Sus scrofa: one gene and its partners. The protein of the gene in region 3 interacts with the protein of the main gene of each other region in a pairwise test. Links are inferred from orthologs where the notes say so. Each region holds a gene or a part of one and is shown on either strand. Other genes may lie near its edges.

Evidence for each region.
Region 1: the proteins of POGZ (region 3) and ZXDC interact in binary tests that used the Homo sapiens proteins (3 or more experiments, as listed by UniProt). The link is inferred for Sus scrofa from reciprocal best matches to the Homo sapiens genes POGZ and ZXDC.
Region 2: the proteins of POGZ (region 3) and NFYA interact in binary tests that used the Homo sapiens proteins (3 or more experiments, as listed by UniProt). The two-hybrid records come from large-scale screens. The link is inferred for Sus scrofa from reciprocal best matches to the Homo sapiens genes POGZ and NFYA.

The regions. Positions count from the first base shown.
Region 1 is NC_010449.5:53,639,082-53,643,324, reverse strand, and holds the start of ZXDC (zinc finger protein ZXDC), read right to left. Parts: upstream 2,930-4,243; coding exon 2,026-2,929; intron 1-2,025. UniProt on the Homo sapiens protein: Cooperates with CIITA to promote transcription of MHC class I and MHC class II genes.
Region 2 is NC_010449.5:36,400,166-36,403,807, forward strand, and holds part of NFYA (nuclear transcription factor Y subunit alpha), read left to right. Parts: intron 1-222; coding exon 223-354; intron 355-547; coding exon 548-653; intron 654-1,075; coding exon of another isoform or gene 1,076-1,093; coding exon 1,094-1,242; intron 1,243-3,146; coding exon 3,147-3,320; intron 3,321-3,642. UniProt on the Homo sapiens protein: Component of the sequence-specific heterotrimeric transcription factor (NF-Y) which specifically recognizes a 5'-CCAAT-3' box motif found in the promoters of its target genes.
Region 3 is NC_010446.5:97,775,309-97,779,502, forward strand, and holds the start of POGZ (pogo transposable element with ZNF domain), read left to right. Parts: upstream 1-1,278; 5' UTR 1,279-1,621; intron 1,622-4,194. UniProt on the Homo sapiens protein: Plays a role in mitotic cell cycle progression and is involved in kinetochore assembly and mitotic sister chromatid cohesion.

The DNA of each region.
Region 1 (4,243 bases), on a different chromosome or scaffold from region 3:
AGTTACGAACTCTGCCACCTGTTGCATAACAGCTGAAGCGGGGTGCTCCGGGGAGCCAATGGGTGCACACAGGCCTCTGGCCCCGAGAGGACTCAGAGACAGAGCACCTGATCAAGAGTCCTCCAGGCACAGTCACCAGCTCCTAGTGCTGTAGCACAGACCCTGTGGACATTACAGAAATTCAACTGCCACGGCGGCCCGCTTGAAAGCAAGAGAGGCCAATGCGAGGACCCATGAAGGAGTTCCCAGCTGGTAAGGCTGAGCTGGAAAGGGCTGCAGAGCACTGCAGCATCTGAGACCCTTTGACCTCTTCACCTGTGGGAGCGATGCTGCTCCCTCTCCCCTGCAACTGGCCTCGGTCACCTAGCTCCTCTCTCTCCTTTGGCCCACTTCCTCAGGGTTCCCTGCGCTGTCAGAGGTTATGGGGTCATCTTCAACCTCAGCTAGGCCACCAGACTTTGGGTATAACTAGTTCTCCTTTTACAAAAGGTTCAGGGCTCCAACAGGGCAGGAAACAGGAGGCTGCAAGAGGTTTACCAGGTGTCTCTGCACACACTTCTCGAAGCCCTCTTCCTCGAAGACTTCTCTCCTGCCACCAGGTGCCCCCAGGTACACGCTGCGTAGGGAACCCTACTTTCTGCAGCAACACTGAACTGGGAAATGCTGATTTTCCTAAATGCCCTACAACCCTCCCTGCTGGCAAAAATCTGCCCCCACCCTGGCCATTCCTCATCCTGGGATTGGCGTCTTCACACTGGGTCAGGCGAATCTAAACAGGCTCAGCCAGTCCCCTGCCCTATCAGGAACTCCCGACACACACACACACACACACACACACACACACACACGCAGCTGACAGTCAGGTCTCACGACTCCCCCCTGCAATCTTTCTTCTCCAGCATTCCCCACTGCCTCTACCTGGATCAGCCCTCAGCAAACTCAGGTCTGGAACATTCAGCAGGGCTTCAACAGCCTGCTCCCACCCATCTCTGATAGACACCCCACTGACTATTCACCTCAAAATCCTCAGGGTGACTGGGTGCCCTGGAGCAGGCTGGACCCCTGACCCTTCTGCCACCACATTCAGGTGCCCCTGTGCTTCTGACCAGAGAGCGGTCGCAAGCCACCAACACATCTGAGTGCAGGGCTCAGAAAGTCGTTAATCAGTGGCCTAAAGCCACACTCTCCAGGAAGATGGGTGCACAAGACAGCCCAGGACAGGAGGGAAGAAAACACAAAAACATACTAGCAACTAACTTTTGTCCCACCCTTTGACATATATTTCATGACATACACGTTATGGAGAGCACACTGCCCTACAAGACACATCAACATGGTCTCAGGCACAAGGTAGGAATACATTCAAGCTCTTCTCTTAACAAAGAATGCGGGAGGCCTCCTGCACCCTTCCAGCTTCACCCCCAGACCCCCTTCCAGCTCCTCCCCCAGCCCCACGACAGCTCACATTCCCTGCCTTGGCTTGGCAGCTTCACCCACCAGCACTCCCTCGGCTTCCCAGGCAGAAATCTATCCCAGGGAGAGTTCAACAGCAATCAGAGCGGAGAAAGACCCCTCCGCGGACTGTATCCGCCTTGCTCGGCCTCAGTCTCTTCATCTGAAGATGAGGACGACTTCCAGAACCTCACAAAACTGTGAAGTCCAAAGGAAATAAAGGTTTTCGAGATACAAAAACAAGGACCATACACCCGCGACTGTCCTTCCAGCTCCTAAGGTCTCGCCTGGGGCCAGATCGCCCTGCAGCCCGGAGCGCGAGCCTGAAAGTGGGACCGAGCTTTTCTAAACGATGAGACCTGCCTGGAAACTCAAACCTCTGGAAAGACACCTTGCGACCCCGTTAACCGGAAGCACCTTAAGAGAAGCGCTGCCTGCAGCCTGGGAAGGGCGCTGAGACGATCTGGGCTACCTCGCTGTCCCAACCTCGCAGCAACGCAGGGTTCAGGTGCAACCCCAAAACCCGGCAAGAAGAAACGCCGCGTGCTTGGCCCCCGCCGCCGCGCCGCTCACCGGGATAGTCGCACTTGTAGGGCCGCTCGGGCTCGAAGTGGCTGCGCTGGTGCGAGCTGAGCTTGGCATGCGTGGGGAAGCGCTCGGCGCACACCTCGCACTTGAACAGGCTCTCCTGCTCGTGGCCCTTCATGTGCGCCTTGAGGTTGTATACGGTGGTGAACTTCTTGCCGCAGCCGCCCACCGGGCAGCCAAAGGGCCGCAGCTTGTCGTGCGACTGCAGGTGCCGCTTGAGCTTGTAGGACGTGGTGAAGGCCCAGCCGCAGCCGTCCAGCGGGCACTTGAAGGGCCGCCGGCCCTGGCCGCCGCTGTGCGTCAGCAGGTGCACCTTGAGCTGGTGCTTCTTGGCGAAGAGGAGAGCGCACTGTGGCTCCGGGCAGCGGTAGCCGGGACCGGCGGGCGCGCGGCGGGCCTCGGCCGGACAGGCGGCCTCCCGGTCCGGCGGAGAACCCCGGGGCGGTGCAGCAAGCGCGAGGACGCCGCGCTCTAAGCGCACCACCAGGTCCTGGCCGCCGGCGGCCCCGGGGCTCGCGAGAGGCGCGCCGGTAGGGGAAACAAGGGCTTCGCCGCCGAGGGCCTGCGCTGGGCGCCCGGCCGGGCTCGCGGCGACGCTGGGCTCGGGCTCGGGCTCCAGCCGCCCCGGGGCCTCGGCCGCGCCGCGCGCCACTTCCAGCAGCACCACGAAGGAGTCGCCTCCGCCGCCGCCGCCGCCGCCGCCGGGGCCCGCTGGCCGGGCCTCTCCGCACTGCTGCCCCTGCGCGTCGTCCTCGGGGCTCCGCAGCAGCAGGAGACGGCGGCGCGCAGGGCCCGGAGCTCTGCGGGTCCGACCGGGGCCGCCCCCGAGCTGGGGTCCGCGCTGGGCCGGGGCCGGAGCCGGGGGGGCGAGCACCGCCGGCACGTCCATCTTGGGCCACAGCGCGTCCAGCCACCGCCTCACCGGAAGCCCCGCCCCACCCTCACGCCCTCCGTGCGCGACGCCGTGCGCGACGCCCGCGGGTCAACGCCAAAACCCGGCGCGTTGCAGGCCCGGCCCGAGGCGCGCGTGCGCGGGGCGGTGGGCGGGGCGAGGGCGTCCACCGGGGCGCGTGACGTCAGGGCTTCTCTCCGCGGGCGGTCCGGGGTTGGTAGAATCCCGGCCGGGTCACGCCCCCCTCGCTCCCCCGCCGCTCGTGTTGAGCGCGGGGGACCTGCGGTTAGAGGTCCAACCAACTCAACCAGCCTCCCCTCGCTTCTGGTACCTGCCTGGACCCACCGCGGCCTTCTCGGCCCCCGCCCCCGCCCCCCAGTCGCTCCTCTGCAGGTCGCGCTGCTGGTCTTCCGAAACGCGTGTCCGGCCGCACCTGCTCCCCAACTCGACCCCTCTCTGCAGTCCCACCGCCCCATGCGTCCCCCACTCCCGCTGGACGAGCAGGTTCCAACTTAGAGACTGCACTTAGGCAAGTCTGTCTCCAAAATGCACTCTCGCAGCGCCCCTCTTCCTTTGACAGCTCTCAGTGGCAGTAGTTTTATCGTCCCTTTCCTGCTAATTCATCGTGACTCTAAAATGAGGACCCCGTGAGGACAGGAGCCCTGTCCTCTTATTCACAGCTGTGACCGGGGGCGAGCAGAGAGGACTTTTAGTAGATGTATTGAATTGATGAATGCTTGATTATTAAAGTACTTTAAGAATAAGGTACTTCAATAATATTAAAAAGAATAGGACACATCCTCATATATACATAAGGATTTGTGCCAAAATACAAATTGCTCCACGACCATTCAGTGAAGGGACAACCTTTTCAATAAAGGGTACTAGGACAACTGGATATCCACGTACAACAGAATGGGTTTGGCCCTCTGCCTCCTACCAAAGGCAAAAAGCAACTCAAAATGGATATAAAGGCTATAACTACAAAACTACTAGAAGAAAACATAGATGTAGATCTGTATGACCTTGGATTAGGGGACAGGTTTCTTAGATTTAAAAACCAAAAGCACAACCAATTAAAGAAACAAATTGGCCATCAAAATTAAAAACTCTTTTGGGTCAAAGAATACAAACAAGAAAGTGAAAAGATAATCCACAAAATGGAGAAAAGTTTGCAAGTGATATATCTGATGGGGATCTACTATCCAAAATATTTTTTAAAAAACTCTTGTAACTCAATCACAAAAAGACAACCCAATTTAAAAATACACAAAAGACGTTAACAGACATCTTTCCAAAGAAAAAATAAAA
Region 2 (3,642 bases), on a different chromosome or scaffold from region 3:
TCATCTATATCCAGTATCCACACAGTGGTCAAAATTCCCCCATCATGTCATAAATGGAAGACAGGTTCTCTCTAACTCATAATAGAGAGCAGAACAAGGCTTCTGTCTCTTTTTCCTCTTCAGAGCATTTCCTGCCTTCTAGAGGAATTTGAGTAAGGAACACTCCGGGGCCAAAGGAGTCCAGTGTCAGCAGAGCACTAACATTTGTGTCCTCTTCCGCAGATACAGTTGGTCCCACCTGGGCAGATCCAGATCCAGGGTGGGCAGGCTGTGCAGGTTCAGGGTCAGCAGGGCCAGACCCAGCAGATCATCATCCAGCAGCCCCAGACTGCTGTTACTGCTGGCCAGACACAGGTAATTTCGTTCTCTCCACTGTTAGAGCACAGCTGATTTGGAAGGTCAGACCAGCTAGTTGAATATTTCACATGTAGTAGAAGTGGGGTAGAAAATTATCCAAAATTTGTTTTTTCTTAAAAAGGACTAGATAGTCCTTTTCTTTGTGGTGGCTTTGGAATCTATAAATTGTGTCCCGGTGTATTTCCTACAGACACAGCAGCAGATCGCTGTCCAGGGGCAGCAAGTGGCACAGACTGCTGAGGGACAGACCATCGTCTATCAGCCAGTCAATGCAGATGGCACCATTCTCCAGCAAGGTAGTGTGCCCATCTTTTCTGTGGGACTTTTAGGGGCATCCTTTTCATCTTGAGCAAATTGACTGCTTTAGAAATTTTGTGGTGACCTCTTGAACAACATAGTGGTCCATAGACAGGGAAGCCTCCAAACTTTTTGGTCACCCATTAAAAACTATTGGAATACCCAGGGAAATACCCAATTTAAGGTTGGTTTTATTCAAAACTGGAACCCGGATAGTTAATAGAATTTCTAAGATTGTCATTGTATGGAGTATGTACAGCAAACCGGGGAGGCAATGGAAGAGTGCTTTTTTCCCCTTGTACTGTGTTAAGTAGGTTTTTCCAGGGTAAATTAAGTGTGTGCCAGATAGAAGAGGGACTAACTCTGTTCCCTTCTTTCTGTGTACCTGTTTTTTGTTTGTTTTATGTTTTATTTCTTAAAGTTACAGTCCCTGTTTCAGGCATGATCACCATCCCTGCAGCCAGTTTGGCAGGAGCACAGATTGTTCAGACGGGAGCCAACACCAACACAACCAGCAGTGGGCAAGGAACTGTCACGGTGACACTACCAGTGGCAGGCAATGTGGTCAATTCAGGAGGGATGGTCATGGTAAGAAATTCTTTATCTCAGCTGTTCTCATCAGTAATTGCTTTCCCATGTATCTCTTTGTCTTTGAAATGTTCTTGAACTTGCAATTTGGTGTCTAATAAAGCTTGTTTATCATGCTGACCTCCTAGGATTGAGATTTATCCCTTAAGACACAGAGGTCTACTTTTACAAAAACCGTAATTCATTCAGAGCACCTGCTGTGTGTCAAGAGACGATTCTAGGTACTAGAAGTATAGCAGAAGATACACAGATGTAAATATTTGCTTTTAAGTAATCTTACTCAGAATTCAGATAATGAAGGGAGATATAAACTGCTAATTTTTTTGTCTCTTTAGGGCTGCATCTGCAGCATATGGAGGTTCCCAGGCTAGGGGTCAAATCAGAGCTGTAGCCGCCAGCCACAGCCGAGCTGTGTCTGCGACCTACACCACAGCTCACAGCAATCTCAGATCCTTAACCCACTGAGTGAAGCTGGGGATCGAACCTGCATCCTGTGGTTACTAGTCATACTCATTTCCACTGAGCCACAATGGGAACTCCTAAACTACTAATCTTTAAGAAAGGGGAAGTAATATTGCCCAGAGTGGGTGAAATTAGAAGTCAGTTCAAAAATAGGATTGAAGGAGTTCCTGTTGTGGCTCAGCAGTAACAAACCTGACTAGTATCCATGAGGATGCAGGATTGATCCCTGGCCTCGCTCAGTGGGTTAAGGATCCGGTGTTGCTGTGAGCTGTGGTGTCCTGGTGTAGGTCGCAGACAAGGCTTGGATCCCATGTGGCTGTGGCCATGTCCAGCAGCTGCAGCTCTGATTCATTCCCTAGCCTGGGAACTTACATATGCAGCAGATAGAGCCCTTAAAGGGGGGGGGGTAGGACTGTAATCAGTAGAGAACCCTCCCCCCCCCAAGAAATGTGTGATACCAACATATTGAGAAGACAGGAAAGGGGAGTTGAGTGATGTGAGTGAAGCTAAATCCTCATATGTCAAAACAGGGGTGTCAGTATATAGCACCGAAAATGGATAAATTCAGAATGAGTAGTAGAAACCTGCACAGAAGTGGAAGAAGCTACCAGAAGAAACAATATAGCCACTCAGTGTTGTCACCCTTGGGAAGGGAGTGGGCCAGGGGAGCCTGTTTCTTGTTCCCTCATACATTTAGTACAATGTTTTATTTTTGTTTGTTTAGGAAAATAGGAGTTGAATTACATAGTAAGTTAACTATTTAAATTATTTATATAACTAAGAGCATCTAGTAGCACTTGGTCAGTCTGAACCTACTTTCCTTTGTGCCATTTTCCTTGTGCTCTTATTGCCTTAGGATTACTGCTCATAACTATTAGATGGCAGCAGACATTTCCAGAAAATGGAACCACATGTAGGTGGACAGAAATTTGAATATGGTTTTTATCATTTCTCACTATGGCTTCTCAGTCCCCTGTGACGGAATGGAATGTTTGTTTAAAATGTAGACTTTGGAGTTCCTGTCATGACTCAGTGGTTAACGAACCCAACTAGTATTCATGAGGATGAGGGTTCAGTCCCTGGCCCTGCTCAGAGGGTTAAGGATCTGGCATTGCTGTGAGCTGTGGTGTAGGTTGCCGATGCGGCTTGGATCCCACATTGCTGTGGCTGTGGCATAGGCCCGCAGCTACAGCTCCAATTCGACCCCTAGCCTGGGAACCTCCATATGCCACAGGTGAAGCCCTAAAGAGACAAAAAACTAAAAAATAAATAAATAAAATGTAGACTTTTAGCGTATTCTCCAAGATTCTGCATTTAGCTAAGTGTCGTGTAAAAGCTACTCTTCTTACCATTTTTCTGAAAACAGAGGAACCAAGAAACCATTTCCCATGTCCATATTTCATGCCAGGATTTGATGAGCTCTGATTTTTTTCTCCACTCAGATGGTACCTGGTGCTGGCTCTGTGCCTGCTATCCAAAGAATCCCTCTTCCCGGGGCAGAGATGCTTGAAGAAGAGCCTCTCTATGTGAATGCCAAACAGTACCACCGTATTCTTAAGAGGAGGCAAGCCCGGGCTAAATTAGAGGCAGAAGGGAAAATTCCAAAGGAAAGAAGGGTACGTGTAACACTGGGAAGGATGTAGGACAAGAATGGCAGGGTTCTACTTTTGAAACCAAACCTTAGAGGGTTTGGTTCCAGTACCTTCCAGACATTGAAGTTAGATAGCTGTTATCTTTTGTAAAAGCATTTATTATTTCTAGATATAGCGGCAACTACAATATTTAAAAAAACAAACAAACAATCCTGTGGTGTAAATAGGATTTTTTTTTTCCTTACATAAAAGAAGTCCAGAGATAAATTGTCTTGGACTGGTAGCACATTTCCAGACCCATTCTCCTCCTATTTTACTGTCCACCCATAGTCCAAGGTAACTGCCT
Region 3 (4,194 bases):
CAGAACAGGCTCAGAATATGGCAAAATTTGTCAGTAAGACTATTTCTGAGGCAAATGACATAATGAATTATAGTAATTATGGAGGGAAAGAATAAAATAGGATTAGATCTCCATGTAGAATGTTTTTTGATGATTGATTCCGTAATCCCGCCATGGGCTCTTCCAGATCAGGCCTGGAAAATCTTCAGAAGTATTTTCAGAAGGATTGGTGATCTTCCCAATTCAAATAATAAAGTTTTTCCTAAGAATGACTAGTTGAAATCACTCATATTTTTGGTATGAAATAGGATGATGAAAATGGGTGGTGGTGCATGCATGTGCATGGGTGCACAATTTGGAATGCTTACTTTCACTGCCAATTTTCATAGTCTGGTGGTTTGGAATGTAAACATAGAAAAAGAATAGATATGTTTTTGCATCTCACCAGCCTTGCACGACTACTTTGATTTACCATTTGGTTTGGAGCAGATGTTTGGGTATTGATTAAAGAGCAACTATTTCCTCAAATATCCAAGGAAAATACTAAGCTTTTATCATCTCAGGAGGTAATAAAGGACAAACTTTCTTAGTCACTTGGAAAGAGGTTAGTTTTTGTTTGAGGAAAAATAATAGGTTGATGGTCTTGAATGTACAAATCAATCTTTGGGCCAGTCCATGTCAGCCTTATTTGGAGCAAAGAGCACAGAAGAGGAGTCTACAGTTTCTTAGAATTGAGGATCTCCGAGGATTCTACTCATCTCAAAGCAGTTTTCATACATGATCACCTTAATAAGCAATCATGTGTGACTTCCTTCCAGAATCCAGAAGCGTCTAGGGTAAAAACGGCTTTTAAAATTTCTTCACTTAAGGCCACTTGACTGCATGTCTCTTGAGAAAGAGTGAGTGCCATTTTGACGCTTTTGTTCTAATGACAGTCGTTGGGGCCATTGGGCCTCACTATCTGGCCTAAGGCATGAGGTTCTCCTCTTGGTTAGGTAAGAGCCTTGAGTGGAAAGTGTGGAGATTCCCAAAATTTCCCTGGAAAGTCCCCGCAAGTGAATTGGGGAACATTATCTTTGGAAATCCCATCTTTATCACCAAAACTTAGATGTTGTTTCTGAAGCTAATTATTTTTCATTCCATTTTTTGGGAAAGATTATTTATTTATTTATTTGCAGGCCCAGACAAACTTGACTAGAAAAGAAGCCCGGGCAGGGGTTAGGATGAGCCCATGACGTGCCACGCGCTCCAACCAATTGAAAAACCACGAAAGGGGGAGGGCGGAAGTGACGAGTCGTATCCCTCCGCGGGGCGAGAGGGTCGGTGGGGGGAGTCGGCGTCTCTCTCCCCCGCGCCAGCTCCCGTACACGGAGCCGCATTCCTCGGCCCCCCCGCCCCCCTCCCTCGGGGGCCCCCCGCCCCCCTCGGGAAAAAAAATCCACCTCAAATCACTCGAACCCGAGGGAGGTTTCCTTTCACCCTCGGGGAGACTAGCTTTCAACGGTTCCCTCTTCTCCGTCTCCCCCCAAGCCCCCGTCCCCTCCCCTGCTCCCACCCCCTTCTCCCGGCGCGGGGTGCAAGGTCCCTTTAAGGCGACGGCGCCTTCCTCGGGTCAGACTACCGGCGGCGACGACCACGGGAGGTGAGTGAGCGAGCGAGCCTTCTCTCTCCCCACCCCCTTCTCCCGGGGGTTCCGTTATCTTTTCGCTCGGCGAGGCGTTCCGAGGCGAGACAATGAGAGGGGGATGGGGCGGGAACGCGAGGGGTGGGGGCGGGGGCCCGGTGGCGCGCGCCCCCGCCCCCCTCGAGTGGCGTCGCGGCCCGCGGCGGCGGCGGGCGTGGGGTGCGGCGCGCGAGAGCGTGTGTGAGTGCGTGCGCCCCGGGAGCCGCGCGAGTTGCGCGGCGGGCCGGGCCGGGGAGGCCCCTGCCTGCCGGCCGCCCCCGCCCCCCGGCGCCTGCCGCGGCGCGCGCGCGCGCACTCGCGCCCCACGGCCCCGCACACAGCCGACGTCCACACGCACACCCGGCGCGAGGCGTCTCGGAGGAGTGGGCGGGCGCGGGCGCGGGCGGCGGCCCGCCGGGGAAGGGGCGGGGGCGCGGGCAGCAGCGAGACGGCGGGGCGCGGCGGGAGGGGCTGGCTAGGGGGCGAGGCCGCGCCGGGGAGGCGGGCGGGAGGGGCGGCGGGCCGAGGTCCCCCGGGGGTGGGGTAGGGGTAGTGCTGGGTCCTCTCCGCCCCACCCCCGCCGGGCCAAGAGTGGGGCTCTCTTTTTGAGCTCCAGGAGGAAAATGAGTGATTGCTTAGCCGCTCCCTTGTGTTATGTAATTCCCGCTCGGTCGTATAGTACATCCCAAGCCTTAGCGCACCGCTGTTAGTTTACAAAGTCTCCTCCCCCCCAGCCCCCCTCCCCGCGCTCTAAGATTTCTTTGGGCTGGCGCCGTGATTTACAAAATGGGATGGGGCTTAAAATCTTTATTTTCCGATGATTATATCCTGCCGCGGTGGGCGCCATGTTTATCCCAGGGACTATTTTTCTAGGTTTTTAGCACCTTCTGAAAAGGAGTGATGTCGTTGATTCACCTGCTTTCTCTCCTTTCTACGAGTTGTCCTGATTTCTTCGCCTGTCACACGGGGGATTCCCCCAAATTGTTGCTAATGCTGGACGTTTCTCTGCTTGTCTTGGACATTTTCAGCTTAGAAAAAGGTAGAGCGGGAGAGTCTTTTTAAGTCATTTAGCCCAAAATCTCTTTGAAGATGGAAATTGAGATACAGGTGTCCTGTCTCAGAACAGCCGTCGTTTTGTTGCAAACTGTGCAGCCCTCTACACTCTTTTATAGAGTTCCCATCGCAGCTTAAAACCTCACAGAGATACAATTTTACTTTCAGAGGAATTTCCCTATCTAGATGAAGGGGAAACAGATGAGGTGGAGGGCTTGCCTCTTGGAGAACGGCATTGAATTTCGAGACCCATTGCTCTTGGAACTGGGAATTGGACTCTGAATTCGAACTACTTAGCACAATCATTCTTAACTTCAGGGTGCATAAGAAGTATGTTGGAAATTTCTAAAAGTGTAGTTGGGGTAGGGGAGGCTCATTCCCAAGCCTTTTTGGATGGGACGGGGAAGGGGTAGATTTCTACCTTCAGCTGAGAGTGTGGTAACCACCATATTGAGAGTTGTCGGTCTAGCAAAAAAGATGCTCAAAATCTTAGAACAATTAAGTGGCAGTCTATGCCCTTGATTTCCTTTTCCTATTTTATGGTTATAAGGTACCAGCCATGTTTTGTAAATTTTTAAGTTATATTAAGAATTGAACTAAATGGAGTTCCTGTTGTGGCTAAGCAGAAATGAATCTGACTAGTATCCATGAGGACTCAGGTTTGATCCCTGGCCTCGATCAGTGGGTTAAGGATCTGGCCTTGGGGTGAGCTGTGGTGTAGGTCGCAGACATGCTTCCTATCTGAAGTTGCTGTGGCTGTGGTGTGTGGGCCCGCAGCTGTAGCTCGGATTTGACCCCTCACCTGGGAACCTCCATGTGCCGCAAGTGTGGCCCTAAAAAGACTAAAATAAAATACAAAGAAAATTGAAATACAGTTAATGTAGAATTTTGCGTTAGTTTCAGGTGTACAGAAAAGTGATTCAATTATACATATTTATATCTATTTTTCAGTTTCTTTTTACTTATCGGTCGTTACAAGATATTTAGTGGAGTTCCCTGTGCTATATAGTAGATCCTTGTTGGTTTTCTGTTTTGCATACCAGCTCTCTTGGTGGTGTATCTCAAACTGAAAGAACTAACAATGACGACTCTTGGGATAAATCGGATTTTGTTAGTTTTCACGCCTGCCTTGGACCAGTGGTGTAATATAGGAAAGCAGTTCCCAAAATGTGGTTCACCGACCCTCGGGAATCCCCTCAGGCCCTTTCAGGAGTATTATCCACGAAGTAATACTAGGAGGCTATTTGTTTTTTTTACCGACATTTGCACTGATGGTCCAAAAGCAATGCTTGGTAAAACTACTGGTAGTACCTTAGCACAAAGCAAGGCAGTTGCACCCAACCTCAGCTATACTTACTTGAGAATGTCTTTGATGAAGCAGTAAAAATAATTTTATTAGATCTCAGTCCTTTAGTACACGTCTTTCTAAGTTTTAGGAATCTGTGGCCATTTGGGAAGTATGCATAAAACGCTTAAGCTCTCTACTGAGGTAGATCCTT